Canis lupus familiaris: one gene and its partners. The protein of the gene in region 1 purifies or fractionates together with the protein of each later gene. This does not show direct contact. Links are inferred from orthologs where the notes say so. Each region holds a gene or a part of one and is shown in the gene's direction. Other genes may lie near its edges.

Evidence for each region.
Region 2: the proteins of CD2BP2 (region 1) and SNRNP200 purify together in Homo sapiens (affinity purification with mass spectrometry; 8 studies listed by BioGRID and IntAct, counting the BioPlex papers as one, with this or other methods). This does not show direct contact. The link is inferred for Canis lupus familiaris from reciprocal best matches to the Homo sapiens genes CD2BP2 and SNRNP200.
Region 3: the proteins of CD2BP2 (region 1) and E2F-associated phosphoprotein purify together in Homo sapiens (affinity purification with mass spectrometry; 3 studies listed by BioGRID and IntAct, counting the BioPlex papers as one, with this or other methods). This does not show direct contact. The link is inferred for Canis lupus familiaris from reciprocal best matches to the Homo sapiens genes CD2BP2 and EAPP.
Region 4: the proteins of CD2BP2 (region 1) and EFTUD2 purify together in Homo sapiens (affinity purification with mass spectrometry; 7 studies listed by BioGRID and IntAct, counting the BioPlex papers as one, with this or other methods). This does not show direct contact. The link is inferred for Canis lupus familiaris from reciprocal best matches to the Homo sapiens genes CD2BP2 and EFTUD2.
Region 5: the proteins of CD2BP2 (region 1) and DHX38 purify together in Homo sapiens (affinity purification with mass spectrometry; 3 studies listed by BioGRID and IntAct, counting the BioPlex papers as one, with this or other methods). This does not show direct contact. The link is inferred for Canis lupus familiaris from reciprocal best matches to the Homo sapiens genes CD2BP2 and DHX38.
Region 6: the proteins of CD2BP2 (region 1) and PPP1CA purify together in Homo sapiens (affinity purification with mass spectrometry; 3 studies listed by BioGRID and IntAct, with this or other methods). This does not show direct contact. The link is inferred for Canis lupus familiaris from reciprocal best matches to the Homo sapiens genes CD2BP2 and PPP1CA.
Region 7: the proteins of CD2BP2 (region 1) and SART1 purify together in Homo sapiens (affinity purification with mass spectrometry; 4 studies listed by BioGRID and IntAct, with this or other methods). This does not show direct contact. The link is inferred for Canis lupus familiaris from reciprocal best matches to the Homo sapiens genes CD2BP2 and SART1.

The regions. Positions count from the first base shown.
Region 1 is NC_049227.1:17,900,526-17,904,622, forward strand, and holds the start of CD2BP2 (CD2 antigen cytoplasmic tail-binding protein 2), read left to right. Parts: upstream 1-1,297; 5' UTR 1,298-1,365; intron 1,366-1,505; 5' UTR 1,506-1,580; intron 1,581-1,689; 5' UTR 1,690-1,835; exon of another isoform or gene 1,836-1,992; intron 1,993-2,123; exon of another isoform or gene 2,124-2,267; 5' UTR 2,268-2,287; intron 2,288-2,370; 5' UTR 2,371-2,396; coding exon 2,397-2,474; intron 2,475-2,713; coding exon 2,714-2,849; intron 2,850-2,972; coding exon 2,973-3,130; intron 3,131-3,252; coding exon 3,253-3,694; intron 3,695-3,775; coding exon 3,776-3,885; intron 3,886-3,967; coding exon 3,968-4,078; 3' UTR 4,079-4,097. Other genes in the region: sesquipedalian-1-like, read right to left, coding at 200-808. UniProt on the Homo sapiens protein: Involved in pre-mRNA splicing as component of the U5 snRNP complex that is involved in spliceosome assembly.
Region 2 is NC_049238.1:34,654,953-34,658,452, forward strand, and holds part of SNRNP200 (U5 small nuclear ribonucleoprotein 200 kDa helicase), read left to right. Parts: intron 1-327; coding exon 328-426; intron 427-785; coding exon 786-938; intron 939-1,043; coding exon 1,044-1,143; intron 1,144-1,298; coding exon 1,299-1,435; intron 1,436-2,648; coding exon 2,649-2,732; intron 2,733-2,826; coding exon 2,827-3,000; intron 3,001-3,463; coding exon 3,464-3,500. UniProt on the Homo sapiens protein: Catalyzes the ATP-dependent unwinding of U4/U6 RNA duplices, an essential step in the assembly of a catalytically active spliceosome. Plays a role in pre-mRNA splicing as a core component of precatalytic, catalytic and postcatalytic spliceosomal complexes.
Region 3 is NC_049229.1:13,537,479-13,540,854, reverse strand, and holds the end of E2F-associated phosphoprotein, read left to right. Parts: intron 1-2,306; coding exon 2,307-2,583; 3' UTR 2,584-2,876; downstream 2,877-3,376. UniProt on the Homo sapiens protein: May play an important role in the fine-tuning of both major E2F1 activities, the regulation of the cell-cycle and the induction of apoptosis. Promotes S-phase entry, and inhibits p14(ARP) expression.
Region 4 is NC_049230.1:18,507,319-18,510,818, forward strand, and holds part of EFTUD2 (116 kDa U5 small nuclear ribonucleoprotein component), read left to right. Parts: intron 1-1,355; coding exon 1,356-1,483; intron 1,484-2,337; coding exon 2,338-2,531; intron 2,532-3,500. UniProt on the Homo sapiens protein: Required for pre-mRNA splicing as component of the spliceosome, including pre-catalytic, catalytic and post-catalytic spliceosomal complexes. Component of the U5 snRNP and the U4/U6-U5 tri-snRNP complex, a building block of the spliceosome.
Region 5 is NC_049226.1:78,391,002-78,395,234, forward strand, and holds the start of DHX38 (pre-mRNA-splicing factor ATP-dependent RNA helicase PRP16), read left to right. Parts: upstream 1-1,433; 5' UTR 1,434-1,655; exon of another isoform or gene 1,656-1,783; intron 1,784-4,053; 5' UTR 4,054-4,070; coding exon 4,071-4,233. UniProt on the Homo sapiens protein: Probable ATP-binding RNA helicase. Involved in pre-mRNA splicing as component of the spliceosome.
Region 6 is NC_049239.1:50,565,131-50,569,404, forward strand, and holds the start of PPP1CA (serine/threonine-protein phosphatase PP1-alpha catalytic subunit), read left to right. Parts: upstream 1-1,474; 5' UTR 1,475-1,570; coding exon 1,571-1,625; intron 1,626-2,150; coding exon 2,151-2,282; intron 2,283-2,438; coding exon 2,439-2,669; intron 2,670-3,225; coding exon 3,226-3,330; intron 3,331-3,526; coding exon 3,527-3,750; intron 3,751-3,833; coding exon 3,834-3,968; intron 3,969-4,045; coding exon 4,046-4,156; 3' UTR 4,157-4,274. Other genes in the region: TBC1D10C (carabin), read right to left, coding at 52-296. UniProt on the Homo sapiens protein: Protein phosphatase that associates with over 200 regulatory proteins to form highly specific holoenzymes which dephosphorylate hundreds of biological targets.
Region 7 is NC_049239.1:51,813,363-51,817,382, reverse strand, and holds the start of SART1 (U4/U6.U5 tri-snRNP-associated protein 1), read left to right. Parts: upstream 1-1,220; 5' UTR 1,221-1,285; coding exon 1,286-1,598; intron 1,599-1,795; exon of another isoform or gene 1,796-1,893; intron 1,894-3,376; coding exon 3,377-3,434; intron 3,435-3,817; coding exon 3,818-3,873; intron 3,874-4,020. UniProt on the Homo sapiens protein: Plays a role in mRNA splicing as a component of the U4/U6-U5 tri-snRNP, one of the building blocks of the spliceosome. May also bind to DNA.

The DNA.
Region 1 (4,097 bases):
TTTGAGGAATCAGAAAAGAACCTGCTGTTGTACCTGGGCCCGTCTCCTGCTTTGTTATTTGATAGAGGGGGTTAGAATAAGGACTGGGCAGGGGGTGGGAAACAGTGGAGCAGGCCAGGATCCAGGCATCTACCGAAGCTGTGGGCTGGTCTTGGCACGTGGGTACCTCTTGGCCTTTGGTCCACCTTTCAGTCACTCATCAGCTGCTGAGCTCCTGTTCCTCTTTTGCCTGGGATCTGCTGCCCCCATTGTTAGCCTGGGGCCCTCTACGCACCACCTGCAGCACCCGGATCTCCTTTCCAAAGTGCTCATGCAATTCCTGGAAGCTGGAGGGGATACCGAGGGTGGCAAGAAAGCCACAGTCCTCTGGGGGTGAGCTGGGCTCTTGGCCAGCTGCCTGGCACAGCTCCCGGTACTGGGCCTCCAGGGGGGGTAGTAGCGCCACCAGCCGCCTCCAGCTCGCCCCAGCTAGTGCCCACAGCCAGGCTCCCAGCTCTTCCTGGTTTTCTGCTGCCAATTTGTAGGCACGCCCAGCTGTTCCCTCAACCCTAGGGGTCAGTATGGTAAAGGCATAGGGTTCTGTGGCCCCAAGGCGTGGCTCCACCCGACAGTTTTCCAAGAGAATGAGGCCCAGGGGTGTGTGGTCCGCCTGGTTCTCCAGGTAGAAGAGGAGGTTTCCCCGGAGGATGAACCAGCGGCGTTGATAGCTGATATTTCGGGCTCCTTTCTTCAGCAAGATGCCCTCGCGGTCTGGAGCTTTTCTGTATCCACGGAAGAAATTGAGTACGGATTTCTGGTGCAGTTTCATGGTAGTCCAATCTGGGAGTAGACCTTGGGGGCAGGAGAGAGAGCTGGTCCTAGCCTAGTGGGATTTAAGAGTGTCCTCAAGAGTACAGGTCTTGCTCCCCCCCCCCCCCCCCAGCACTGGGGCCGACACCTCCCACCTACAGTTCTCCCCTTTGGGCTAGTTTACAGACCCTGGGCAGGGGCCGCTGGCCTGGACCCCTATTTGCTTGCGCCTGTAGTTGGAGAGACGCACTGTTGCCCTTTTCCAGGCCTACCTGAAATCAGGGCACAAGAAACTTCGGCCTGGGTACTGGACACAGGTACCACCGTCACCTTTCCGAGACGGCTCTTCCCACCTCTCAAACCAGGAACTCCCCAGGGGATAGGTGTCGGGTAAATGACTTCCCCCGGGTCCTAAAGAGACCTGTGTTCGGCAAGTGCCCCGGAACCACCCCGGGCCTCCAGGCTGGCCATCAGAACCGGGTCTTGCCTCGGGGAAAAGAGCAGGGCCGCACCTCGGGGTAGGAGTGGACTGGACTGGACGCTGAGTGGAAAGGAAGGGTTTCCAAGAAGATTCTGGTGAGGGGCGCAAAGCCCTTGGGCAACCCTGGGGAAAGTGATTCAACTATGGAAAGGGAAACGGGCCATTGTCCCACTTTGCTCCTCCATCATGGTCCTGGGCGCCCCTTTAAGTAGAGTGCGCTCTGCTTTCTCCCCAGAGCCTCTGACTGCTGTCGGAGGGAATCGAAACCGCATCCGGCCATCTCTCTCGTCTGATCGGGGCCTAGGCGTTCGTACGTCCCCTGTTCTCGCCATTGTCGCCCCACACTGATCACGTCACTCTGGGTTGGGCGGGGAGGTGTTTCCCGCTCACTGTGTACTTCCGCCCGCTTCTCCACTTAGTCCCCTACCCCGAGTGAAGCCACTTCCGGCCTTCTCCAGCGCCTTCCGCAGTTCCCTTCCGGGTGATGGCGGCCGCTGCCCCGGACGTAGCCGTGGGGAAAGCAGCTCTCTTTTTCCTTCCCCGCCGGCCTCCCGTCGATCTTTAGGTGAGCGCGCGCCGGTGGGGTCCTGGAATCCTCGCGGTTCTGCCGCCCCTCTGATTTGTACACTTAGCCCGGGACAGTTGGGGGTCACCCCTCGGAGCCGGGAGTTCGGCGCGGGGAAGAGGGGGTCGGCCAGGACGCCAGGTCCTGGGTCCGCCCGGGCCCCGCGGGCTCTGAGGGAGCTGGGGGTGTAGGAGCCGGTGTCAGCCCTCAGAGCCTCGTCGCACCCAGGACTGCGGGGGCCAGGAATGGGGGGGCATGTGTGGGGGGTCTGTCTCCTTTCGTCAAGGGTGGGGGTTGCCCGTGGGAAGCCCCTCCGCGCGTCCGCCTCTCCGGCCCCGCACCAGCAACTCTTTTGGACCAAACCAAGTCCCCGGGGCCTCCTGGCGGCCGACTTCCCTTTCGGCCCCTGACTCTGCACCCTCTCTTCCCAAGCTGGATCTAGTGCGTACCAGGTGATTATTTGTTGTGCTGGCGGCCCTTCGGCGGTGAGTAGCCTCGCCCAGTTCCCTTAATCTGCACCCTTTCCCTCGCTCAGCTTGGCGAAGGCCCCTCTGTGCAGGCATGCCAAAGAGGAAAGTGACCTTCCAAGGCGTAGGAGATGAGGATGATGAGGATGAAATCAGTGTCCCCAAGAAGAAGGTGAGGTGGCCAGACTCCTGTATTCTGGGGAGGAGTGAGGGCAGGGAGAAGGAACTGGAGGCTAGAAGAGAAAGAAAGCTGGTGGGGATAAAGCGGTGAAAGGTCTCGCTTTTTCCATGTTCTCTGGGAAATGGGTTTGGAGAATTTTCAGTCTGAGAAAGCTTTGAAGAAAAACCTTCCTAGAGTACTTTGAGGAATAGCCGCAAACCTGCATCTCTCAACTTGCTGGCTCCTCACAGCTGGTGGATCCTGTGGCTGGGGCAGGGGGTCCTGGGAGCCGCTTCAAAGGCAAACACTCTTTGGACAGTGATGAGGAGGATGATGATGATGAGGGGTCCAGCAAATACGACATCCTGGCCTCAGAGGATGTGGAAGGTGAGCTAAACCCAAGAATTGTTGCTGCTGGAGGAACAGATGGGGTTTCACGGGATATGGGGTGGAGAAGGCTCTTGTCTGTTTTTGCTTGCTCAGCCTGGGCCACCTGTGTCTTTGGTGCAGGTCAGGAAGCAGCCACACTCCCCAGTGAGGGAGGTGTGCGGATCACACCTTTCAACCTGCAGGAAGAGATGGAGGAAGGCCACTTTGATGCTGATGGCAATTACTTTCTGAACCGGGATGCTCAGATCCGAGATAGCTGGCTGGACAACATTGACTGGGTGTGGCCCAGGGGTTGACTTTGGCTGGGGACCTGGAGGCAGCAAGTGCTGGGCTTGTGCCCTGCTCACGGTTTGTAAGAGATAACCGACCCCCCCCCCCCCACCCCGTTTTCATATCACAGGTGAAGATCAAGGAGCGGCCACCTGATCAGCGCCCACCTTCAGACTCAGAGGAAGAAGACAGCCTGGGCCAGACACCAATGAGTGCCCAAGCCCTCCTGGAGGGCCTTCTGGAGCTGCTGTTACCCAGAGAGACAGTGGCCGGGGCACTGAGGCGTCTGGGGGCCCGAGGAGGAGGAGGTGGCAAAGGGGGCAGCAAGGGGGCTGGGCGGCCTAGTTCCCCTCAGCGCTTGGATCGGCTCTCTGGGTTGGCTGACCAGATGGTGGCCCGGGGCAACCTCGGTGTATATCAGGAGACAAGGGAACGGTTAGCCATGCGGCTGAAGGGGTTGGGGTCCCGGACTCAGGGACCCCCTGACCCCACACCCCCACCCTCTCTGGACATGTTTGCTGAGGAAGTGGCAGAGGGGGAGCTGGAGACCCCAACCCCCACACAGAGGGGAGGTAAGATCAGAAGGCAGAGGAGGGGTGTTGGGGCAGGAGGTAGGGCACTTGAGGGCCAGATGGCTTTGCCTGTTGTTTTAGAAGCAGAATTGAAAGGAGATGATGGTCTGGTGGACGTGATGTGGGAATATAAGTGGGAGAACACAGGGGATGCTGAGCTGTATGGGCCCTTCACCAGCACCCAGATGCAGGTAAGCCCTTTCCTGCTTCTACCACTACCCCCCTTCCCTTCTCCCATGAGTCTTTCCCCAGCTCTGCTTTCCTTTCCTGCAGACCTGGGTGAACGAAGGCTACTTCGCAGATGGTGTTTATTGCCGGAAGCTGGACCCTCCCGGTGGACAGTTCTACAACTCCAAACGCATTGACTTTGACCTCTACACCTGAGTCTGCTGAGGGCCCAGTT
Region 2 (3,500 bases), on another chromosome or scaffold:
CATCATTTATCGATTGTACACATATGAGAGAGACTGTGATCCAGTTGGTTGTCATTGTGGCAGCCTAAGAGGAGAAGCAGAAGAGAGAGTAAAAGCATCTAATGAATACTTGCCAAGTGGACTTAGAGTAATGAGGTCATTTATTACATGTACTCTGGATCTGTTGGTCTCCCTATCACCAGTACCAATAAGCTATTGGTCTCCCCACCACCAGTACCAGAGCCATTGCTCTAACCATGGAACTAATTTTAAGGGACTCGGGAGAGGTTCTCTGTTGATGTTAGGATCACCTCCAAATCATGAGCTGGGGTTGGGTTGTTTCTGTAGGAAGGTGATGAAGATGTCTATGGGGAAGTTCGAGAAGAGGCATCTGATGATGACATGGAAGGGGATGAGGCTGTTGTGCGCTGCACTCTTTCGGCTAATGTAAGTACAGCTTGTTCTCGCCCATTGCTGCAAGGCTAGGGGATTTCTGGGTGTAGCATTTGTTTTCTCCTGCATAGGTCCTGTTGCATATTACTGAGCTGGCCTTTAATAGGAGTCATTAGACATTCAGCGTCTTGATTTTCTTAAGATTTCAATCACTCATTTTCCTTCCCAAAGGCATGTGTTGAAATGTTAGTTTGGTATGCTCCTGAATTTATTATAAGGGTTTTTTAAATTCTGGAAAGTCCTCAAAGACTGGTAGACTCTGGTGGCAAGAGGAACTCTGTTGCAGGGTGATGAGTAAGCAGTTGGGGCCAATGGAGATGTGGCGTAAGCTAAGTACCTGGTTACTTCTGTAGCTTGTGGCCTCAGGGGAACTGATGAGTTCCAAGAAGAAGGATTTGCACCCTCGGGATATTGATGCATTTTGGCTACAGCGGCAGCTCAGTCGATTCTATGATGATGCCATTGTGTCACAGAAGAAGGCAGATGAAGTGTTGGAGATTCTGAAGGTATGGCCAAGATGTTTTGTGTTCATCATATGTATCTTAGCAGTGGGGACAGCGTATGAAGCAGATGGCTGCATCCTTAATCATGGCATTACCTTCTCTCTGTAGACAGCCAGTGATGATCGGGAATGTGAAAACCAGCTGGTTCTGCTCCTTGGTTTCAACACTTTCGATTTTATTAAAGTGTTGCGACAGCACAGGATGATGAGTGAGTATATAGTCCCTTTGGGAGCTCATTCGTGGTATATGTGCTTGCTTGTGTGATGGGGACTCTTATTTTTATAGCTTCAGTGCCTGTTTCAGTGAGCTTGCTTTCTACACAAACCCCTCCTTTTCATCTTCCCCTTCTTTTGCTGTTGTTAGTTTTATATTGCACCTTACTGGCCAGTGCACAGAGTGAGGCAGAAAAGGAAAGGATCATGGGAAAGATGGAAGCTGATCCAGAGCTCTCCAAGTTCCTCTACCAGCTCCATGAGACTGAGAAGGAGGATCTGATCCGGGTAAGGGCTGGGTTAGTTTATCTGTCTGATTCCCGAACTAGAATATTTGCTTTGGAAAAGAGACACCATTTGTAAGAGTATAGCGTTGAGGCACTTGGGTGGCTCAGTTGGTTGAGTGTCCGACTCTTGATTTCGGCTCAGGTCATGATCCCCAGATTCGTGAGATTGAGCTCCATGTCAGGCTCTAAACTGAGTGTGGCGTCTGCTTGGGATTCTCTTTCTTCCTTGTCCCTCTCCCACTCATGTGCACTCTTGCCCTTTCTTAAGAAAATTGTAGCATAAAGCTGAATTCATAGTAGAAGTGAAGGTTTGAAGAAGTAAAGTATTTCTCTGAATTCTTTGAGGTTTGTCCCTAGTACAGATTAGAGTTAACACACTCAGAGTGCTGTGGTCAAGAGACTGCTAGCCTGTTGCTGTCTTCAACAGCACCATGGGCCCATCACATGGGCCCTTGACACAATAAGTAATGGTATGTACTGAAAATGCAGGGATAGAACACATATGTTGGCTGAACATAGAACCTACACTTCTATCTTTAGGGTTAGCCCTTGGTGCTGAATTGTTGAACATCTACTTTTGAAATCCCTGTGCTATGCATTGTCCTCTTTTTTAAGAGGAAAGTTTTTTTTTTTTTTTTTTTTTTTAAGATTTTATTCATTTGAAAGAATATGTATACATGTGGGGAGAGGGGCAGAGGGAGAAGGACAAGAGACTCCCTGCTGAGCGGGGAGCTTGATGCGGGCCCCTGTCTCAGGAACCTGAGACCACGACTTGACCCGAAGTCAGATGCCTGACTGAGCCACCCAGGTGCCCCTGCATTGCCCCTTTACTTTTTTTATTTTAATTAAAAAAATATTTATTTATTAATGAGAGACACAGAGAGAGAGGCAGAGACACAGGCAGAGGGAGAAGCAGGCTCCATGCAAGGAGCCCATTGTGGGGCTCGAACCTGGGAATCCGGGATCACGCCCTGATCCAAAGGCAAGCACTTAACTGCTGAGCCACTCAGGTGTCCCCGTTGTCCCTTTAAAACTGCTTGCTTCCATCATTCTGGTGGTCCCGATGGCAGATGTCTGAACATAAAGGACGGTCTTTCTAGTTTGGGACTTACTGGTCAGCACCCATGAGTCAAGCTTAGTTAAGCAGAGACCAAAAGGGACCAGAACCTTCAATGGTGATGGATTGTTATTCTTTGGGCCTTTCTCTGTTACAGGAGGAAAGGTCCCGGAGAGAGCGAGTGCGTCAGTCCCGGATGGACACAGACTTGGAAACCATGGATCTGGACCAGGGTGGAGAGGTAGGTCTTGGGTTCATTTCCAAGGTGGTGCTAGATGGAAAAAGCTCATTTGTTCACCTTGCTCACTTTGGGTTTTTGTTTTTCATACTCCTAGGCACTGGCTCCACGGCAGGTTCTGGACTTGGAGGACCTGGTTTTTACCCAGGGGAGCCACTTCATGGCCAATAAACGTTGTCAGCTTCCTGATGGGTCCTTCCGGCGCCAGCGCAAGGGCTATGAAGAGGTGCATGTGCCTGCTCTGAAGCCCAAGCCCTTTGGTTCCGAAGAAGTGAGTGAATTGCTTTTCTCCATTTTCTTTGTTTTCACTTCTCTTCCAGTTTGGATTTCAACCCATTGGCCAAAATGTGATCTTGCTTCATAGTTTTTCCCTGATGTGGAAGCTGTTTCAGAGTTTTCCCACTTTGTGAGCCTAGGGGACAGTGGAGAGTGACACAGGGAGGGTGCCAGGAAGTGCAGTCCTGGCTGTCCCACAAAAACAGCTTGCTCAAGGATGCTGCCAGCAGAATGTGAATGGCATTTTTCTCTCTCTCTCATTCATTCATTCATTCATTTTTAAAGATTTTATTTATTTATTCATGAGAGATACAGAAGGAGAGAGGCAGAGAGAGAAGCAGGCTCCATGCAGGTTGCCCAGTGCGGGACTCGATCCTGGAACTCCAGGATCATGCTCCGAGCTGAAGGCAGTCGCTCAACCGCTGAGCCACCCAGGCATCCTTGTTTCTCTCTTTTAGCAACTGCTTCCAGTGGAGAAGCTCCCGAAGTATGCCC
Region 3 (3,376 bases), on another chromosome or scaffold:
GTAGGCCTCAGTGTGAAAGACACAGTCGAAGATCGTTTAAACATTAACTCTCAAGTTTCCAGTAACTTTTCTAAGTTTGAAGAGCAAACAATTTTTTTTTTTCAGAGATAAAAGTTACTTCTAAAGTAGTGGAAAAGAGGATATATTCATTCTTTAAACTATTCTCTGTTAACAAGTTTTTCCTATTCTTAACATTTCTTTAAATTTCCCATTTTGTTCTTATGTTTTTCATGAGAATGCAATGTTGTATTTTAGTAAGTTTTTTGTGTTCTCAATTTTAACTATCTGGAGAGGCAGGGCGCCTGGGTGGCTCAGCATTTGAGCATCTGCCTTTGGCTCGGGTTGTGATCCCAGGGTCCTAAGATCGAGTTCTGCATCGGGCTCCCCATAGGGAACCTGCTTCTCCCTCTGCCCGTGTCTCTGCCTCGCTCTCTGTCTCTCTCATGAATAAATAAATAAAATATTAAAAAAAAAAAAACTATATGGAGAGGCAAGAATATACAATGGGGGAAAAAGAGTCTCTTCGATAAATGATTCTGGGAAAACTGGACTACTTTCTAGCACCATACACAAAAATAAACTCAAAATTGATTAGGACCTAAATGTGAGACTTGAAACCATAAAGCTCCTAGAAGAAAACAGGCAATAGTTTCTTTGACATTGACCATAGCAACATTTTTCTAGATATGTTTCCTAAGGCAAGGGGAAATAAAAACTATTGAGACTACACCAAAATAAAAATCTTTTGCATGGTGAAGGAAACCATCAACAAAATGAAAAGAGAGGGCAGCCCCGGTGACACAGTGGTTTAGCACCGCCTGCAGCCCAGGGCGTGATCCTGGACACCCTGGATCGAGTCCCATGTCAGGCTCTCTGCATGGAGCCTGCTTCTCCCTCTGCCTGTGTCTCTGCCTCTCTCTCTGTGTGTCTCTATGAATAAATAAATAAAATCTTTAAAAAGAATAAAAAAAAAACAAAATGAAAAGAGAACTCACTGAATGGGAGAACATATTTGCAAATGACCTATCTATAAGGAATTAAAACCAAAATATAAAAAGAACTGATACAATGCAACACCAAAAAAACCAAATAATCTGATTAAAATGGGCAGAGTACTGAATAGACATTTTTCCTTTTTTTTTTTTAGATTTTCTTTTTTTTTTAAATTTTTTAATTTTTATTTATGATAGAGAGAGAGAGAGAGGCAGAGACACAGGCTGAGGGAGAAGCAGGCTCCATGCATCAGGAGCCCGACGTGGGATTCGATCCCGGGTCTCCAGGATCACGCCCTGGGCCAAAGGCAGGTGCCAAACCGCTGTGCCACCCAGGGATCCCTCCTTTTTTTTTAAATAGACATTTTTCCAAAGTAGACATATAGATAGATGTCCAACAGATAAATGAAAAGATGCTCAACATCATTGATTATCAGGGAAATGCACTCAAAACCACAGTGAAGTGTCATCTTACACTTGCCATAATGGCTAAAAAAAAAGATGTGAAATAAAAAGTGTTGGTGAAGATGTGGAGAAAAGGGAACTTTTGTGCACTGTTGGTCCGGATGTAAATTGGTGCAGCCACTGTGGGAAACAGTATGGAGAGTCCTCAAAAAATTAAAAATGGAAATAACCTATGTTGTAATTCCACTACTATTTATCCAAAGAAAACAAAAACCATAATTAAAAAAGATATATGCACACTTGTGTGTATTGTATTATTTACAATAGCCAAGATAGGGAAACAAGTGTGTTTTGATGAATAAAGAGAGAATAGTTATATATATGCAGTAGAGTATTACTTCGCCATAAAAAGGATGAGATCTTGCCATTTGTGACAACATGGATAGACCTAAAGGGTGTTACACTAAGTGAAATAAGAGAAAGACAAATACTGTATGATTTCACTTATATATAGAATCTAAAAAACAAAACAATTGAATAAACAGACAAAAAAGCAGAAACAAACCCTTAATTACAGAGAATAAACTGATGATTGCCAGAGGGGAGCAAGGTAGGGGATGGCCAAAATGAGTGAAGGGGAGTGGGAGACACAGGCTCCTGGGTAAGGAGTGAATAAGTCCTGGGGGTAAAATACAATGATACTGTAACAGCATTGTATGTTGACAGAAGATAGCTCTCCTCCAGTGAGTATAGCATAATTAGTGTAAACTTCTTGAATCACTGAATTGTACAGCTGAAACTAATGTAACACTGTGTCAGCTAATTTCTTCAATAAAATCTTAAAATCTGGATGGATAACCTATTAAAATTGAACATAAATCCAAATTCTCCATCTCATTTTCTTCTTAGGCATGAATCATACAAAACTCAGTATAGAGCAATGTTTGTGATGAATTGTTCTGTCAACAAAGAGGAGGTTCTAAGATACAAAATCCCAGAGAACAGGAAGAAAAGGCGAGGCCATAAGAAGATGAGGTCTAACCACGAAGACGCTGCAGAGCAGACAGAGGCACAAGCAGAAGAGATCTATCACCCCGTTATGTGCACCGAATGTTCCACGGAAGTGGCCGTCTATGACAAGGACGAAGTCTTTCATTTTTTCAACGTTTTAGCAAGTCATTCTTGAATAGTTCAGTTGGCATTTAATTGCCCAATACAGTATAAGGCAAACACGGACAGTTATTACCCTCTTGCCTATTCATATCAAGTAACATTCTGAGCGGTTATCTGAGGATACAGTGTTTATCTTTTTGAAAGAGAATGGTTGTCAGCCTTCATCCCTCCACCCCCTTTAAAAATTTTTCCCCCAGCTCTGATGGGACTGATAATTCATTCCCTCTTTGATGGGCATTTGGAAACTATGGGGCTTTTCATGTATTAAAGCTCTTTAGAATTAAAATGTTCTGCAGTTATAAGTAATCTTTGATTCAGTGTTATTTTTATTTTTTATTTTGGATATAGTTGTGGTATTATTAAACTAGAAACTATTTCCTGGCTTCTGTCCATATTGTTTTTGCTAAGAAGTATCTTTATTTATTTTCTACCCCATAGAATGGAGTGACAGTATTTAGTAACTGTTACAATTATGTGGAGTTAATATTGCCAGGTGCTCTGAGTAATTGATACAGGTCTTTCCCTAAAAGGATTGTGTAGTAACAGTATTCTAAACTTAGTGAATTAACACAGTAAATACAAATTTATGGTGAAGGAAAAGAACCTCACCCTCTGCACTTAGACTTCAAACTCCTGTTGCTGCCTCTTTTGCCCTCATTTGTTCTGGAATTTCTACTGCCAGCAACCAAGGTATTGTTTTTCCTTTTCCTTTTTTTTTTTTCTCTTCTATTTTGCTATTAATAATATAAAAATCTGGGATCCCTGGGTGGCGCAGCGGTTTAGCTCCTGCCTTTGGCCCAGGGCGC
Region 4 (3,500 bases), on another chromosome or scaffold:
TGGGGACATGTGGGTGGCTCAGCGGTTGAGCGTCTGCCTTTGGCTCAGGGTCTGATCCCAGATTGCCGGCATCGAGTCCTGCATCAGGCTTCTTGCATGAAGCCTGCTTCTCCTCCCTCTGCCTGTGTCTCTGCTTCTCTGTCTCTCATGAATAAATAAATAAATAAAATCTATAATAATGATAATAATTATTATTGTAAAAATTACTTTTACTATTATTATCATTATTATTCTAGTAGTAGTACATCCTGGGTGGCCATCAGTCTGACCAGGAGATACCAACTGAAAACAGATCTGCCTTCCCCCAGGTACTAATGGAGGTCATCCTCTCTTGCATGGCTCATTAGCCATTAGAAAAACAGATACAGGGCAGCCCTGGTGGCGCAGCAGTTTGGCGCCACCTGCAGCCTGGGGTGTGATCCTGGAGACCTAGGATCCAGTCCCACGTCGGGCTCCCTGCATGGAGCCTGCTTCTCCCTCTGCCTGTGTCTCTGCCTCTTTCTCTCTGTGTCTCTATGAATAAATAAATAAAATCTTTAAAAAAAAAGAGAGAGAGAGAAAGAAAGAAAGAAAAGAAAGAGAAAGAGAAAGGAAAGAAAAGAAAAGAAAAGAAGAAAAAGAAAGAAAGAAAGAAAGAAAGAAAGAAAGAAAGAAAGAAAGAAAGAAAGAAGAAAGAAAGAAAGAAAGAAAAAGAAAAGAAAAGAAAAACGAAACGAAACGAAACGAAACAGATACATGTGTAGAATAGAAACGTGTGCAATCTTTCCCAAAGGGAAAGAATCCGTTCAGGGATTGTTCTGAGTAGATCTGAAGAGATGAAATATTTATTTAATTTAGTGTAAGTGCTCATATTCAATAAAAAATCATAGATTCAGGGATCCCTAGGTGGCTCAGCGGTTTAGCACCTGCTTTGGGCCCAGGGCATGATCCTGGAGTCCCGGGATTGAGTCCTGCGTCAGGCTCCCTGCATGGAGCCTGCTTCTCTCTCTGCATGTGTCTCTGCCTCTTTCCCTCTCTCTGTGTGTGTCTCTCATGAATAAATAAATAAAATCTTTAAAAAAAAATAAGATTATAGATTCATAGAGATACTTGAAAATTTTTGTCAGCTGAGTTCCAAGCAACCACTGAGCCCTGCTTCTTGCTCCTCCCTGGCCTCAGTGTGACATCTTTTAGAACATACTCCCAGGAAAGTAAGATAGTACTGCCCTCTGAGCTCATGGTGCTATAACTTGAAGAGCTGAAAATCAGTCTTTTCAGTTTTAGCTTTCTGGAAATCACAAGTAGATCCGTACCTCAAGCCGCTCACTTACTCCTGTGAGAGTGTATAGTAATGGCTTGCTCTTCTCCTTCCACAGGCTTTGTGGACATGTGTGTGCAGCATATCCCCTCTCCAAAGGTGGGCGCCAAGCCCAAGATTGAGCATACCTACACTGGTGGTGTAGATTCTGATCTCGGCGAGGCCATGAGCGACTGTGACCCTGACGTAAGGGAAAGCCCACCATTTCTCTTGATTTTTGTCCCCTCCTGTATGAGTCCCCTGTTTTCTGGTCATAAGAATAATGCCGTCTTTCCATCCTTGCTTTTCACTCACTCCCCATGAGCAACGTCAAACAGACCTGAATTCAAAGCCTGGTGTTACCACTTCTAGTGGTATGATTTGGGGAACATTATTTAATCTTTCTAAGAGTCGTGGTCTATAAAATGAGGATTAAAATATGTATGTGGTTGTTATAAGAATTGAATGAGATAGGGAAAGTATTATAGTTGTTCAGCATGGTACCTAAACTAGTAAAGATTCAACAAGTGTAGCTGACCTCGTCAGTCTTGGGCTTTAAAAAACATCTTTCCCAGGGGTACCTGACTGTCTCCATCAGTAGAGCATGATCTCTGAGTCATGAGTTCAAGTCCCACATTGAGCGTTCAGCTTACTTAAAAAATAAAAGTCTTTCCCAGTCATTCCTTAGTCTAGTTTCTCAGCATAAACATACAACCAGTTGAAAATTGTGAGTTATGTTTTCAGAGGGAATGTGAGGCAAGCATGTCTTATAACCTTGTACTGTAATGCAGTGCCAGTCTGGCATCCTAAACCTGCTTTTCTTCGCCATTGCCCACATCTCCCTAGAGAACAGGAAAAGAGGTTTTTTTACTATGCCTGTGACATCTATATACTAAGCAGGGGGTAGGGCATGGCTTGGAATTTCCCAGGAGATTGACGCATCTTCCTCTAGGTCTGGGCTTTTCACAGAGCCCATGTCATTGCTGTCAAGGGAGGTGGAGACCATGGCATTTACCCTGGGAATATGTGTGGTTGAGCCTATGCTCTGTCCCCACCTCCAGGGTCCTCTGATGTGCCACACTACCAAGATGTACAGCACAGATGATGGAGTCCAGTTTCATGCCTTTGGCCGGGTACTGAGTGGCACCATCCACGCTGGGCAGCCCGTGAAGGTCCTGGGGGAGAACTACACCCTGGAAGATGAGGAGGACTCCCAGATATGCACTGTGGGCCGTCTTTGGATCTCCGTAGCCAGGTAATGCCAACCATCACCTGTAGAGGTATGCCTTGGCCTTATTACTGGAGCTGCCACAGGAGCTGGGAGAAGTGGTCCTCCCTGGAAGCACAGCAGCTTCATGGCCCCCCCTACAGCAGGAGATCAGCCCATTCTCCCTCACATCTGTTGACTTCTACTTCTTACTACCCAGAGTTGCTAGGGCCAAAAGGCAACTACTATTGGGATAATGCCAAGAGCCTTGCCTTCACATTTTGAAGGCTTGTATAAACTTTGTAGCAGGATTTCTATTTTTACTCTTAATCCTCTTCCTCTTCTGTGTTCCTAAGTCATAACCTTTGTGTTTCTTCCCAAACGAAATTGTCTCCCAGCCTCCACTGACTATTCTTTGACCAAGATAGAAGATTTTGCTGGATATCTTGTAGCTTCCCCATCTGCAGAATCAGACTTAGCTTGAACCTCTGGGCTGCTCATGAGTTCATAAGTTTGGCTTCTCAGCCAGCAAGCAGAGTGCAGGAAGTTGTGTTCCTGACGTTGCCTGCTGCACCTGGCCCCCAGCCCCTTCCCCCACTCCAGATTCACTCGTTCCCTAGAAGGCAGAAGATTGATGAGCTAGGACAGTCACAGTGTTTTCTGTGATGCTTTTGGCATCTCCTTACATTCTACCCCTTGGGCGCAGTGCCTTGCTTACCACTAGTATCCAACTGGAATTCAGTTTTCCTCTTTGTCCTCTTACAATACCATGCGTTTTTCTGTCATGGGCTAATTAATTAATTTGTATCTCCAGTTGGCCCTTTAATAACACAGGTTTGAACTACATGGGTCCATTTTAATATGTTTGTGAGGTGTTTTTTTTTTTTTTTTCCAATAAATACACTATAGTTCTATAAACGTATTTTCTTTATCTTATTATTTACTTAGTATTTTCTCCTTTTAGCTTTCTTTATTGTAAGTATAGAGGGCGCCTGAGTGGCTCAGTTGGTTGAGTGT
Region 5 (4,233 bases), on another chromosome or scaffold:
GTGTGTGATAAGTCACATTTCAAGATATTAATGAATAACAATTCATATAGGGAATGAAACTGTTCCCATAGTGTCATACTTTAACTACGCAAGCTGACCACCAGAAGGGACTTTATCAGATGTCTGTGGCAGAACAAATTACTGATGAAAGGGAAAGTCAAGGAAAGGATGGATCTATCCTACAAGAATTCAAACAGCACCTTCAGTACATTACTTATAGGAGGAGGTGTGGGGGGGGGCAAAGCTGTCTACCAGGGTGAGAGGACTGGATAAATGTTGGAATGAAGACAGGAAAACTGATGCCACCCCTAAGAAAATGCTCATAGCGAAGGATACCAACAGAGACTTCACAAAAGACATACAAACGGACAAAAGTATTTGGAAAGTTACACTTTACTGGTAACCAAAGAACAGCAGCTTGGAAGATTACTTGACAAAGCCATTAAGCTGGTAAAGATGAAAACAGTAATGCAAAGTGCGAATGGACACGCATTTCATAGTCCCCGCTGGAATGCAGAGAAGCAAAACTTTTCTAGGAAGGAAACACCCTGAGCAACGATACTTCTTCTGAGAACTAATTCGACACGTCCACAAAAGATTTACGTAGAAAACATCACTGTTCTTGATGGTAAAAAACAAAACAAAACAAAACAAACAAAAACAAAAAAAACTGAAAATAACCTGCATGGCCCAAAGTAGGGGGATTGGAAAAATAAACAAATAAACAAACAAACTGGAAAAATAAAGGCTAATACAGTCCTGCAAGCTACCGTCATTACACAGCCACAGAATACCGTGCTACGAATGAACTTCTCAGATCCCGAAACGTTCCCACCGTGAAGAAGTCATAAAACAGACTACAGAGCGTGACCCCGTTGTGGTGCAACACAATACTGCACACGCATTCTACGTGTGCGTGGAAAACCAACTGGAGGTCCATATCCCCCAACACCATCAGCGGTCATCTCTGCGACCGAACAGACAGCAGGTGATTCTTAATTACATCGGAGTGAGCATCTTTCTTCTTCCAAAATCTTCGAGAAACACAGACATACATACATCAGCAACGCCTCTGGGCGGGCTGCTCCTGGCCGCCAACTGCTAGGGCGGACGATACTCACCTCATTTGTCCAGGTCACCTCTCGCTCTTCCGCTTCAGCGGCGTCCGCCACCTTGGCCTCCTGTCCAAAAAAGTCAGGACGTCGGCGGCTCCTCCCACGTCAACGCAGCCGCCTTAACGCACCGCAACCCAGGCGCTCCGGCCCAGCGGCTCCCAGAGCCCCGCTTAAGAAGGCGGGAGCGGAAGAAGGAAACGCACAGGCGCAGTAGATGAACTCGCGGTCCTCAACAGACCATCAACAGGGGGTTATCCGAGTCATTGCCCACTTTGCCGGGCTTTGACCGGAAGCTATGGAGTCACTTCCGCCCTTATTAAACATGACCGACCTTCTGCCCTCACCCTCCGTCTTGTCTCGCCTTTTAGGCTGTGATTGGTCGTGACGAGACTCGGAAGTGTCTTCGAATCAGAGTCCCAGAGGAGGACACTCTAGCCTTGAGCGCTTGGTCGCTTTCTGTCCCACACTTGGAGCGGGGAACCGGCGTTTTCCGGTCTTTCCTCGATGGTATCTTCGGATGGATAGAGGGGACCGCGCAAGGTATTATGGGACAGTGATGGCCGCGTTCGCGGTTTGGGTTTGGGTCTGTGAGGCTGTCTGAGTGAGGGGTGGTGGTGCCGGCGCCCCAGAATCTGGGACGGAAGGTTCTGAGAGGCGGGCTTGGTGAGGTGAGTGCCCCTTCTTCCTTCCTGGCCTGCCCTTCGCCAATCATGGCAGCTCCAAGCGGCGGATATGGGTCGTTCCTTCAGGTTCCAGCCCGGGTTTGCGAAGTCCCATCCCTGTCACCCAGCTTGCCTTTCTCACCGTAGGGATGCTGCGCCGGTGCGGCTGGCCCCATCCTTCCTCCTCGATCCGGTCGGATCCCGCTTCCTGGCCGGAGGTGCAGGGATGCTGCCCGGGGGCTCCCCCGCACCCTGCCTCAGCCCCCTGCATTAGCCCCCTCCCCGGCCGACGCCGCCACACGCCGGGCGGCTGTGTCTTCTCGCCTCTGTCACAGTGTGTCTTCACTAGGCGATCTCCTCTACCACAGTGTCGACTCCAAGAGGCGAGGAGTTTGGTCTGTTTTGTTCTCTGTTCTGTTCTTTTCCTCTTGCCCAGAACAGCGACTGGCTCACAGAAGGCAGTCAGGGAAAAATTGTTGAATGAGTAAATCTAGTTGTTCTGAATTGGGTTTTTTTTGTTGTTGTTGTTGTATTCTCTGTGGCTTCTTTGTCATTAATCATTCCCCAGAACCCAGCCCCTTAACTCCTGCTTGTTCTCAGCAGCTAATTAGGTCTCCTCAGATGCCTTGATCCTGGGCTGTTGATACGTTCCTTTGCTGTCTCTAGAAACGTGGGGCTTCCTGTTCTCCACGAATCAGTTTAAATTCATTCACCCATTTATTCATCAAATGTTTAATTTTGCCAGGCACTGGGTACAGCAACAGCAAGACAGACAAGGTTCTCTTTTTCACAGTATAGGACTTATTTTCGAGTTCAGACTACTGGTGAGCAGAACATACATGTGTTTACCTTCCTATTTAGATTTCCTCACCTGCACACAGACGTCATCAATATGCAGCTCTCTCCCTCCTCTTCTACCTGATGGCATTTTCCAAGATGCAGCCCTCGTGTCTTTGTTCGTATTATGCGTCCAGTCTGTTTGGCGATATTTCCCTGTTAGAGCGGCGCCTGTTAATTAGAGCTGGGCAAAAACATTCTGGATTCTGGTGGTACCCTACACCTTAACAGTTCCTTTGCCTCACTGACTTGCTGAAAGGAGAATTATCCAGGCACGTGTGTTTATAAGTTGTTGGTGTGTAATGGGAGGTAAAGAGGAGTTTGTTACAAGTTGTGTGGGAAAATCTTACAATCGCCTTAATACTTTTCAGGAACACCATTTCATTACCTAGTGTTTCTCATCAATATTTTTGGTGAACGTGGATTGTCTTTAAACAGATTTCAACTGCTGTGAGGTAATTCTTTTCTCCAAAACACAACTGGTCCCCGAAAAGTCTTTCATGTGTGGATCACATGGTTGGTAGCCTTATACCCCAATGTGACTACTCTGCTCTATCTGTAGTTTAAAGGGAGAGACAGGCAAAAGAACTCCGTAGAAAAATATTGATCCCCCTGGGTGGCGCAGCGGTTTAGCGCCTGCCTTTGGCCCAGGGCGCGATCCTGGAGACCCGGGATCGAATCCCACGTCGGGCTCCCGGTGCATGGAGCCTGCTTCTCCCTCTGCCTATGTCTCTGCCTCTCTCTCTCTCTGTGACTATCATAAATAAATAAAAATTAAAAAAAAAAAAAAGAAAAATGTTGAGCCCCAACAGTTTATAGGAGCACAGCAAATAAAATAATGTAACACTTACCTTTATGTAACACTTTATGGTTACAGAGAGCTTTCACACACTTTTGTATTTGATTCTTAGGATACTTCCATGGAATAGATAAAGGAAAAAGTATTTCTATTTTTTCAAATATAGAAATTATGCCTAACCAAATACCAACTTATCTGCTTACAATCACAGAAGTAGAAATTGTCAAAAGCTTGCTCTCTAATTGAGGATTCTGACTTAAAATCTAGTGGTGTTTCCCCCTAGAGTCCTTTTCTATATGCCGTCATGTTCTGATAAGTGCCCTTTAGTGAGGTCTGTTTTTGCCTGGATGATACCCTCTTGGATCCTGATATTTGGTGGATGAGAGAGAGAAAGAGAGAGAGAGTCTTTGTGTGTGTGTGTGTATTTCTGATGTGTGTAGGAGTGGGGATCAGGATCTTTTGAGATTGTAATTGACTTAATGGAAAGGTCTTGGCAAGAGGTAGCTAAACAAAGCCTGGTCTTGATGGAGAGGTCACCCCCCCTGAATATACTTATAACTGTAGTTATCTTGGGATACAGTGGAGTCAAACCTTTTCTCCTTTTACATCCAGTACAAAATAGGTTGACTTCCTTCCACAGACATCCCAGAGCCTGTCATGGAGGACACCAGCGAGGATGCCTCGATCCATCGATTAGAAGGCACTGATCTGGACTCTCAGGTTGGCGGTCTTATTTGCAAGACCAAAAGTGCAGCCAGTGAGCAGCATGTCTTCAAGGCTCCTGCCCCCCGCCCTTCATTGCTGGGACTGGACTTGTTAG
Region 6 (4,274 bases), on another chromosome or scaffold:
CCCCATCCTCACTCCCAGCACCCCACTGCCCCTCATCCCTTCCCCACTTACCCTGGCTCTGCTGAGCTGCCCCCAATGAAGCCATAGCGATCAGCCTGGCGATATGGGCCAGGCCCACTCAGCTCTGAGTCGGACCCCAAAGAGCTTGAGTCATCCTGCAGCTCGAAAGGTTGTACCAGGTCCTCCCCCAGGGCCTGGGCCATGGTGCCCCAGACCCAAGCTACCACAGGCTGCAAGATGTGGGGAAAGCCAGTGTGAGAGGCAGCTTCTGACCAGCCTGGGGCCTGAGCTCCCATCCAGCCGGTCCCCAGCCCGGGGACCTGGCTGCAGGGTTCAGAGGGCACAGACTTCAGGGCATCTCACCAAGCCCCCTCTGTCCCCTCTTTTATCGGGGTGGGAGGGTGAGGGTGAGAGTGAGCCTTGAAATGGCAGAAAAGCCAGACCTCTGTGTAGAGGCTGGTCCCCAGGCCCAGCCCCTGCCCCCCCAGGCCAGCTTACCTCCCTGCTGCACCTCACCTCCTCCTCTCACTTCCTCCTTCTCAGCAGCTTCAGCCACCGGCTGGGGGGCCCCTCCCACACTCCCCTCCCAAGTGTGTGGGGGGGTCACCTCTTCCTCTCTGAGGCTCTTCCGGCCTGCCCCAGTGCCCCCAGGACCGTGGGCTCCTCCCACCCTCCCCATGGGCTGGGTGGCTGCAGGCTTGGGCTCCAGAGCAGGGTGTGACCAGTCCAGGACCCACCCGAGTTACAGAGGCCAGGCCCCTCCAGTTTTGAGGTTAAAACAATTCAAGATTCCAGTGAGAATTCTCGTTTATTTAATATTTGCTCTTTACAAGTAATGCTTTGAATATATACCTAACGCAGCGTTATTATGCACTCAGCAGGCAATAACGGAACTTACAAAAATTAGTTCAGCGTGCAGCACAGCGTGGACCAAGATGGGTTCAGAGCGCCGCGGCAGGTGCCTGGGTCTGGCCAGCTGCCTTGAGGGCCGCAGAGACTCAGGAGGTGGAGGCCCCCCGTGAATGTGAGGCCAGGGTTTTGGACCAACCCACCCCCCTGCTATCTCTTGAGTCTCCGTTTCCTTTTCTGCACTTCGAGGACTTGATCCGCAGTGTCTGGAGCATCGGTTATTAATGTGCTCATACCACGCTCCCGCCCAGGGGGTGGGTTAGCGTCTGACAGAGACAAACAACTCCCACAGCACTTCCGGCCCCATATTCTCGGAACTGGACTCGGGTAACTCCTCGGGGGCGGGACCAGACTCGACCCCGCCCTCCGAGCTCCACCCACCGGCCGGGCTCCGTCCCGACGGCCGAGCTCAGCCCGAGCCCCGCCCCGTCCCCTATGCCCCGCCCCCCGGGCCGCCGCGGCCGCTGCGCGCGGTGTCCGGCGGGAGCGCTAGAGCGCGGGGGCAGCGCGCAGGGCGGGGCGGCGGGCCGGGGAGGCGGGGCGGCAGGCCGGGGCGGGCCGGGGCGGGCGGAAGGAGCGCCAGGCCGGAAGGAGGCAGCGGGCGGGAGGGAGGGCGGCAGGAGCGGGCCCGGAGCTGCTGGGGCGGAGCGGCGGCGCCGCCATGTCCGACAGTGAGAAGCTCAACCTGGACTCCATCATCGGGCGCCTGCTGGAAGGTTGGCCGGGGCCGGGGAGGTCGGTGCCCGCCGCGCCCTGGCCCGGAAGTGGTGCGCGGGCGGGCCTGCCCCTCCCCGGGCCAGCTTAGACTGGGCGGGGACGGGCCGCAAGGTCCCGTGGCCACAGCCGCCCCCCGAGTCGCGGCGCGCCGGGGGAGGGGGGTTCCGGGGACGCTCTGGCACGGGGAGCAGCCCCCCTCCTGGGCGGGGGGCGCACGGGTTGGCCTGCGCTATTGGGAGTGAGGGAGAAACCTAAGAAGCCTAGCTCCACCCCTCCCAGGGGTCCTGCGCTATGGGTGGGGTGTTGGGTGGCAGGCCCCCGCGCACAGCACACCCCCTCGAGGGGGTCCCATCCTGGGAGGCCAGAGGCGGAGGTCCTGGGAGGCTCACCAGCAACAGCTGCCCCTAGGCAGGGAGGGGCCTAGGAGGCCCAGGCGCCCTCAGATGTGCCCATAGGGCCACTTGTGTCGCCCACCTTCCTCCTGCCTGAGGGACCAGAGTCTTGACACCCCATTCCTCCCACAGTGCAGGGCTCGCGGCCTGGAAAGAATGTACAGCTAACAGAGAACGAGATCCGTGGTCTGTGCCTCAAATCACGGGAGATTTTCCTGAGCCAGCCCATTCTTTTGGAGCTGGAGGCACCCCTCAAGATCTGCGGTGAGTCTGCTGCCCAGATCCCTTTGGCTTTCTGAAAGTGGAATCCCCACTTCACCCCGCCCAGTCCTTGCATTGCTGCTCCCTGGAGCCCGAACTTGGCCCTGGGTTCAAGTGTAGCCCCTGCACCTAGCGCTGAACCGGTTCCCTGGGTTACAGGTGACATCCATGGCCAGTACTACGACCTTCTGCGGCTCTTCGAGTATGGTGGCTTCCCTCCAGAGAGCAACTACCTCTTCCTGGGGGACTACGTGGACCGGGGCAAGCAGTCTTTGGAAACCATCTGCTTGCTGCTGGCCTATAAGATCAAGTACCCCGAAAACTTCTTCCTGCTCCGTGGGAACCATGAGTGTGCTAGCATCAACCGCATCTATGGCTTCTACGATGAGTGTGAGTAGCCCAAGTCCTTAAGTGACTTCCCTTTTCGGGGAGACCCTCACATAGGCCTGGCAGTAGGGGAATTGGTGTCTGACCACTACCCACAGACCGCGAGCTCTGCGAAGGGTGCACACCAGTTGGTGCCTCTCTGCCTGCCCTCCTGCCGTGGGGCCGGCACGCAGGAGGGGTCTGGGGAGTGACTGCTGAGGACTGCCCATGTTCTAATGCAGGGCCCTGCCTCATGACACTCCCCTCCAGGACATCCATTAGGCACTTGGGATGCCTATTTGGACTGGATCCTACCAACCAGAAGCTGAGATAAACCAGGCCTAGTCTTGGCCTGGCCCTGCTCACTGGGTGCGGGTGGGTTGTTTCGGATTGGAACTCAGGTTCCTCTGGACCTAGCTGCTTTAGAATTCCTGGAAGGCTGGTAGGCAGCGGAGTCGGGGGAGGGGGGATTCTCTTCTTGTCTGCCATTCTCTTCTCCCAGCTGTGTCTGGAGGGCCTCAAGACCCAGGCTGGCTGTGGGGCAGATAGGCCTCATGAGGCATCTCCTTCCTCCCAGCAGGCAAGAGACGCTACAATATTAAACTGTGGAAGACCTTTACTGACTGCTTCAACTGCCTGCCCATTGCTGCCATCGTGGATGAGAAGATCTTCTGCTGCCATGGAGGTGAGAGTGGCTCTAGGGTACATGTTGAAGGGTTCTTTGGGAAGGAAGAGCCCTGGGCCACATCCCGGGGAGCCCTGGGATGAGGCTGTTAGCTGGAGGATGTCTTCCCCGTCACCTGGAAGACCTCTCCCAGTGGTCTTGGTTTGCATGTCACTCTTTGTTTTGAGGCTTAAGCAAGTAACCTGCCCTCCCCCAGGCCTGTCCCCAGACCTGCAGTCCATGGAGCAGATTCGGCGTATCATGCGGCCTACAGACGTGCCGGACCAGGGCCTGCTGTGCGACCTGCTGTGGTCTGACCCTGACAAGGACGTGCAGGGCTGGGGCGAGAATGACCGTGGTGTCTCCTTTACCTTTGGGGCTGAGGTAGTGGCCAAATTCCTGCACAAGCACGACTTGGACCTCATCTGCCGGGCACACCAGGTGGGCTGGCAGCTCTGGGGCGGGTGGGAGTGGGGCCTGGGTAGCCAGCACCTGCTGAACAAACTGCCCCCATCCTCATCCAGGTGGTAGAAGATGGCTATGAATTCTTTGCCAAGCGGCAGCTGGTGACTCTCTTCTCGGCTCCCAACTACTGTGGCGAGTTTGACAATGCAGGCGCCATGATGAGTGTGGATGAGACACTCATGTGCTCCTTCCAGGTTGGGATGGGGGAAGGAGGGGGGCTGGTGACCCTGTGGCTTAGCCCATGAGTTTGACCAGCTCTTGTCTTTTTTAGATACTCAAGCCCGCTGACAAGAACAAGGGGAAATACGGGCAATTCAGTGGCTTGAACCCTGGAGGCCGGCCCATCACCCCACCCCGCAACTCCGCCAAAGCCAAGAAATAGCCTCCGCGTGCCCGCACTCTGCCCCAGATGGTGGATTTGTACAGAAATTACGTGGCCATAGGGGGTTCACGCTGGCCCCCCAGGCCCACCTGTCACGGGGAACACGGAGCCTTGGTGT
Region 7 (4,020 bases), on another chromosome or scaffold:
TGTGGAGCTGCCCCCACCAGCACACACAGCTCTGCTTCTGCTCCTGAGTGGATCATCTCACAGAGCAACAGCTGTGACTCCTCCACTCCCATTTCCAACATTTATGCTGGGTCCTAGGAATTCAAGAGGGAACAGGACCTAATGGCCTCTGCCTTTGAGAACTCAGGGTGGGAGGGGAGGAGGTTTGGATCCTTAAAGGGGTACGTATCTTACACTGTAACCAGTGGTTTGCACAGGGGCCGCCAGTCCCAGCAACTGGGGGTTGCGGGTCAGAGGAGGAATTATGTGAATTGCGATTTTACTTTTTAAAAGACTTTGTTTATTCATGAGACACACAGAGATGTAGCCAAAGGGAGAAGCAGGCTCCCTCTGGGGAGCCCGACAGGAACTGGGTCCGGGATTACGACCTGAGCCAGAGGCAGACGCTCAACTACTGAGCCACCCATGCGCCTTGGGATTTTAACTTCTAAGTAACTTCAAATTTGGGCCCCCAAGGAGGGGGGTGGGAATGAGCTCACATACCCAGTCGTGCTGTGTGGAATTTTGCAGTTTCTGGGGGTTCAAAGTACAGATTTAAAAACCCAATCCAAGGTGAGGGGGGTGCCTGGGTGGCGTCTCCCACTCTTGGTTTCGGCTCAGGTACGATCTCAGGGTTCAGCTGGCCCTTGTCTCCCTCTCCTTGCCGCTCCCGCTTACGCGCTCTCTCAAATAAGTAGATCTTAAAAAAAAAGAAACAAAAGACAAGGAAAAAAGAACCCAATACGAGTAAGGTGGAAAGGCAGCATTTGATAATATCGGGTGTAGGGGCTCAGAGGCTGGGCTGGGTCTCAAAACAAGCTGCGGCGTCCCACACCCGATGGAGCCACGACGAGGGGGCGGGGGCGGGTGGAGCCCACCGGGAGGACGCCGACTGGAGCGGCGGGCGCGGTGCACGGTAAAACCGGTAAACCCGTGAGGCAGGGAGCGTCTGGTGGCGGGGGGGGGGGCGCCTCCAGCTCCCAGATTGCCGGCTTTAAGGGCTTATAGTTCGGAGGCCTGTAACCCCTACACCCGGCGCACGCACGCACTTCGAAGACCGCCACCAGACCAACAGCTCCGCAAACACGCAGCCGGGCTCCAACCCCGGCCTTCCCGTGAGCCCTCGGGGCAGGCACCGAGGCGAACGGCGGAAGCAGCCACTCTTGGTTTCCGGCAACACGACAGCGGCTGCCGGGCGACCCGGAAGTAGTCCCATTTTGCGTCGTCGGGGCTCGGCGGCGGCCGGGCTCGGGGCGGACGTACCACCATGGGGTCGTCAAAGAAGCACCGTGGGGAGAAAGAGGCGGCCGGGACGACGGCGGCGGCCAGCACCGGAGGCGCCACCGAGCAGCCGCCGCGGCACCGGGAGCACAAAAAACACAAGCACCGGAGCGGCGGTGGCGGGAGCAGCGGTGGCGAACGTCGGAAGCGGAGTCGGGAGCGTGGGGGCGAGCGCGGGGGCGGGCGGCGCGGGACCGAAGCCGAGACACGCAGCGGCGCGCACGGGCGGGAGCGCGGCCAGGCTGAGCCCTCAGAGCGGCGCGTGAAGCGGGAGAAGCGCGATGACGGCTACGAGGCCGGTGAGGGCGGGGCCTGTGGGGGCGGGGCGGGGCGTCCCGGGGCGGGCGGTCTGGCCTGGGTGCGAGCCGAGCGCTGCCGCCCCGGCTCCCCGACGCTGTCTCCGTCAGCAATTATTAGAGAGTCTCCCCGTTTGGGATTAAAAGTTGTCTCTCTCTACTAACCTCTGCGAGGGCAGAGGTTTTCTGTTGTCTCAAAATTGGCCCCTCACAGGCCCTTATTTGTTGAGTGAATGAATCAATGAAGTTGTTCTAGCTCGTGCAGAACCAAGAAGAAACCTGATATTGGGCAAACCGGGTAGGGTTCATAGCAGAGATAGGAAACCGGTCGGAGCACAAAGGGCCCTACAGAAATTTGAATTTTGTCTTGAGGGTGGTAGAGAGCCATGGATTTAAGCTGAGGAATGAGTTGATCATATTTTGCAAAGATTCCTAGATTGAGACCTGGTTCAAAAATAGTCAAGACTGGAGGCCACGTGAGGATTGATAGTGGCGTGTGCTGAGGCAGCGGAGGGTGGAGAGACCTGAACAGATTGAAGAACCGTTTGGGAGGAGGAATTAGAGCTTACTTAGCACTTGGGTGAGGGTAAGAAGGAAATGAGGATGGCTCCTTAAATTTTGGTTTGAGCAACTGGGTGGGTGGTTGTGTCTCCTGAAATTGAGGACTTTGGGAGAGAAGCAGACTTTTGAGGGGAGAGAGTTCAGTTGTGGAGAGCATTGCAACCGATAGGGTTTGGGCTGGATAGAGCAATTTGGAAGTCATAAGTAAATCAGGTGGCAAATGAAGCCTGGCGAGAGAGTAAGGAGTGGGCAGTAGAACCTTAAAAATGCCAGCATTTTCGTAGTAGGTAGAGTAAGAGGCTATAAGAATGCTTGATGGTACAATATCCAGAAAAGAAAACTATAGAATCTTGTGTCATGGGGTCTGTTGCAAAGAATAGTCAATGGTGTCACACACACCACAGAAAATAAAGGAAATTCGAGCTGAAAAGAATCCGTTGGATTTAGAAATAAGGAGGCTGGTGACCTTGGAGAGAGCCTAGAAAGGTTGAGATCCAGGGTCCAGGTGAGGTATAGGGGAAGAGGTAGGTTATGGAGTGGGGACGCAGGAAGGATGAACAGGTGGTAGCACCTGGGTGGGGAAGCTCCATCTGGTGGCGTCTAGCCTCTGTCTGTGTGTTGTGTTCCGAAGTTACTTGCTGAGTGAGAGATGAGTAGAGGAAGTCTGAAAAGCTACTTTATCTCAGCATCCTCACTATCCATCGCAAAACAGGGACCATTAAGTGTATTTCTTGACTGGATGAACTGCGCAGAGAACACAGTCATGCTGCTAACACAGTCCCTGACCAGTGGGGAGAAACAGACCTGGAAGTGAGTGATGAGCTGTGGAGTTCAGGAGAGAGCAGTTCATTCTGACCAATAATTAAATAGGAGTTCAGAAGGAGGTGGCATTTGGTCTCAGCATTTGGATAGGATCTCGTCTATCAGAGTTAGGCCAAGGAGGGCAGTGTGGGCTGAAAACAGAATGTACAGAAGTGGAGAGGAGGCAGAGTGAAGGCTGCAAAAAGGTTGGACCTTTTGGGGCAGGAAAGGAAGGTTATGTTGGGGTCTCAAGAGATTGGGACTGAGATGGAAGGAGCTACTGAGATGGAGGAAGGTTGCTGTTTTCGAGTGTCTCAGTAGGGCCCGGGTATGGGTAAGGGAGGTCCCTGCAGAGCTCGAGCCAAAGATGTGGTTTGTTGGCCCTTTGTTCAGCTCCTGAACTATACTTCTTGTTCCAGCTGCCAGCTCCAAAAGTAGCTCAGGAGATGCCTCATCTCTTAGCATCGAGGAGACCAAGTAAGTTCTGTCTTCCTGATGTTTCTACTTTTATTTTCTGAGACAGAGGGCTTCTGGGAACAGTTTCCTGGGGGACCATTCACACACTAAGGCATTCTGACTGGAATTGGAAATGACGTATAACCATTTGAGTTACAGAAAAGACGCTAAGACCCAAGAGAAAGATGGTCTTCTGCTGGTTAGGGGCAGGCCAGGCCTAGTGCCTGTGTTCCCTGATTTGGAGGCCAGCATCCTTCCCAATGTCCTTGGCTGCCTGGGTCAGTCTCTGCTTTGGGGACCCTTAGGACTTCTCAGTTCCATCCTGTTTTCACTCTCTATCCAGAAATGTCTCTGATGTCCCTATTTTGTTGGCAGCTCCTAACATGTGTATCTCTTGTCCTCAGTAAACTCCGGGCAAAGTTGGGGCTGAAACCCTTGGAAGTCAATGCTGTCAAGAAGGGTGAGTGTGGGACTGAGGATGGGGGTGAGGGAGGGCATTTGGGTGGAGGAGAAAGATCATCTGAAGGGGTCTTTGAGGAGGATGGGGTTATGGCACAGGTTCAGCACCATTTAGTGGCCATGTGTGTGTATGTGTGTGTGTACACAC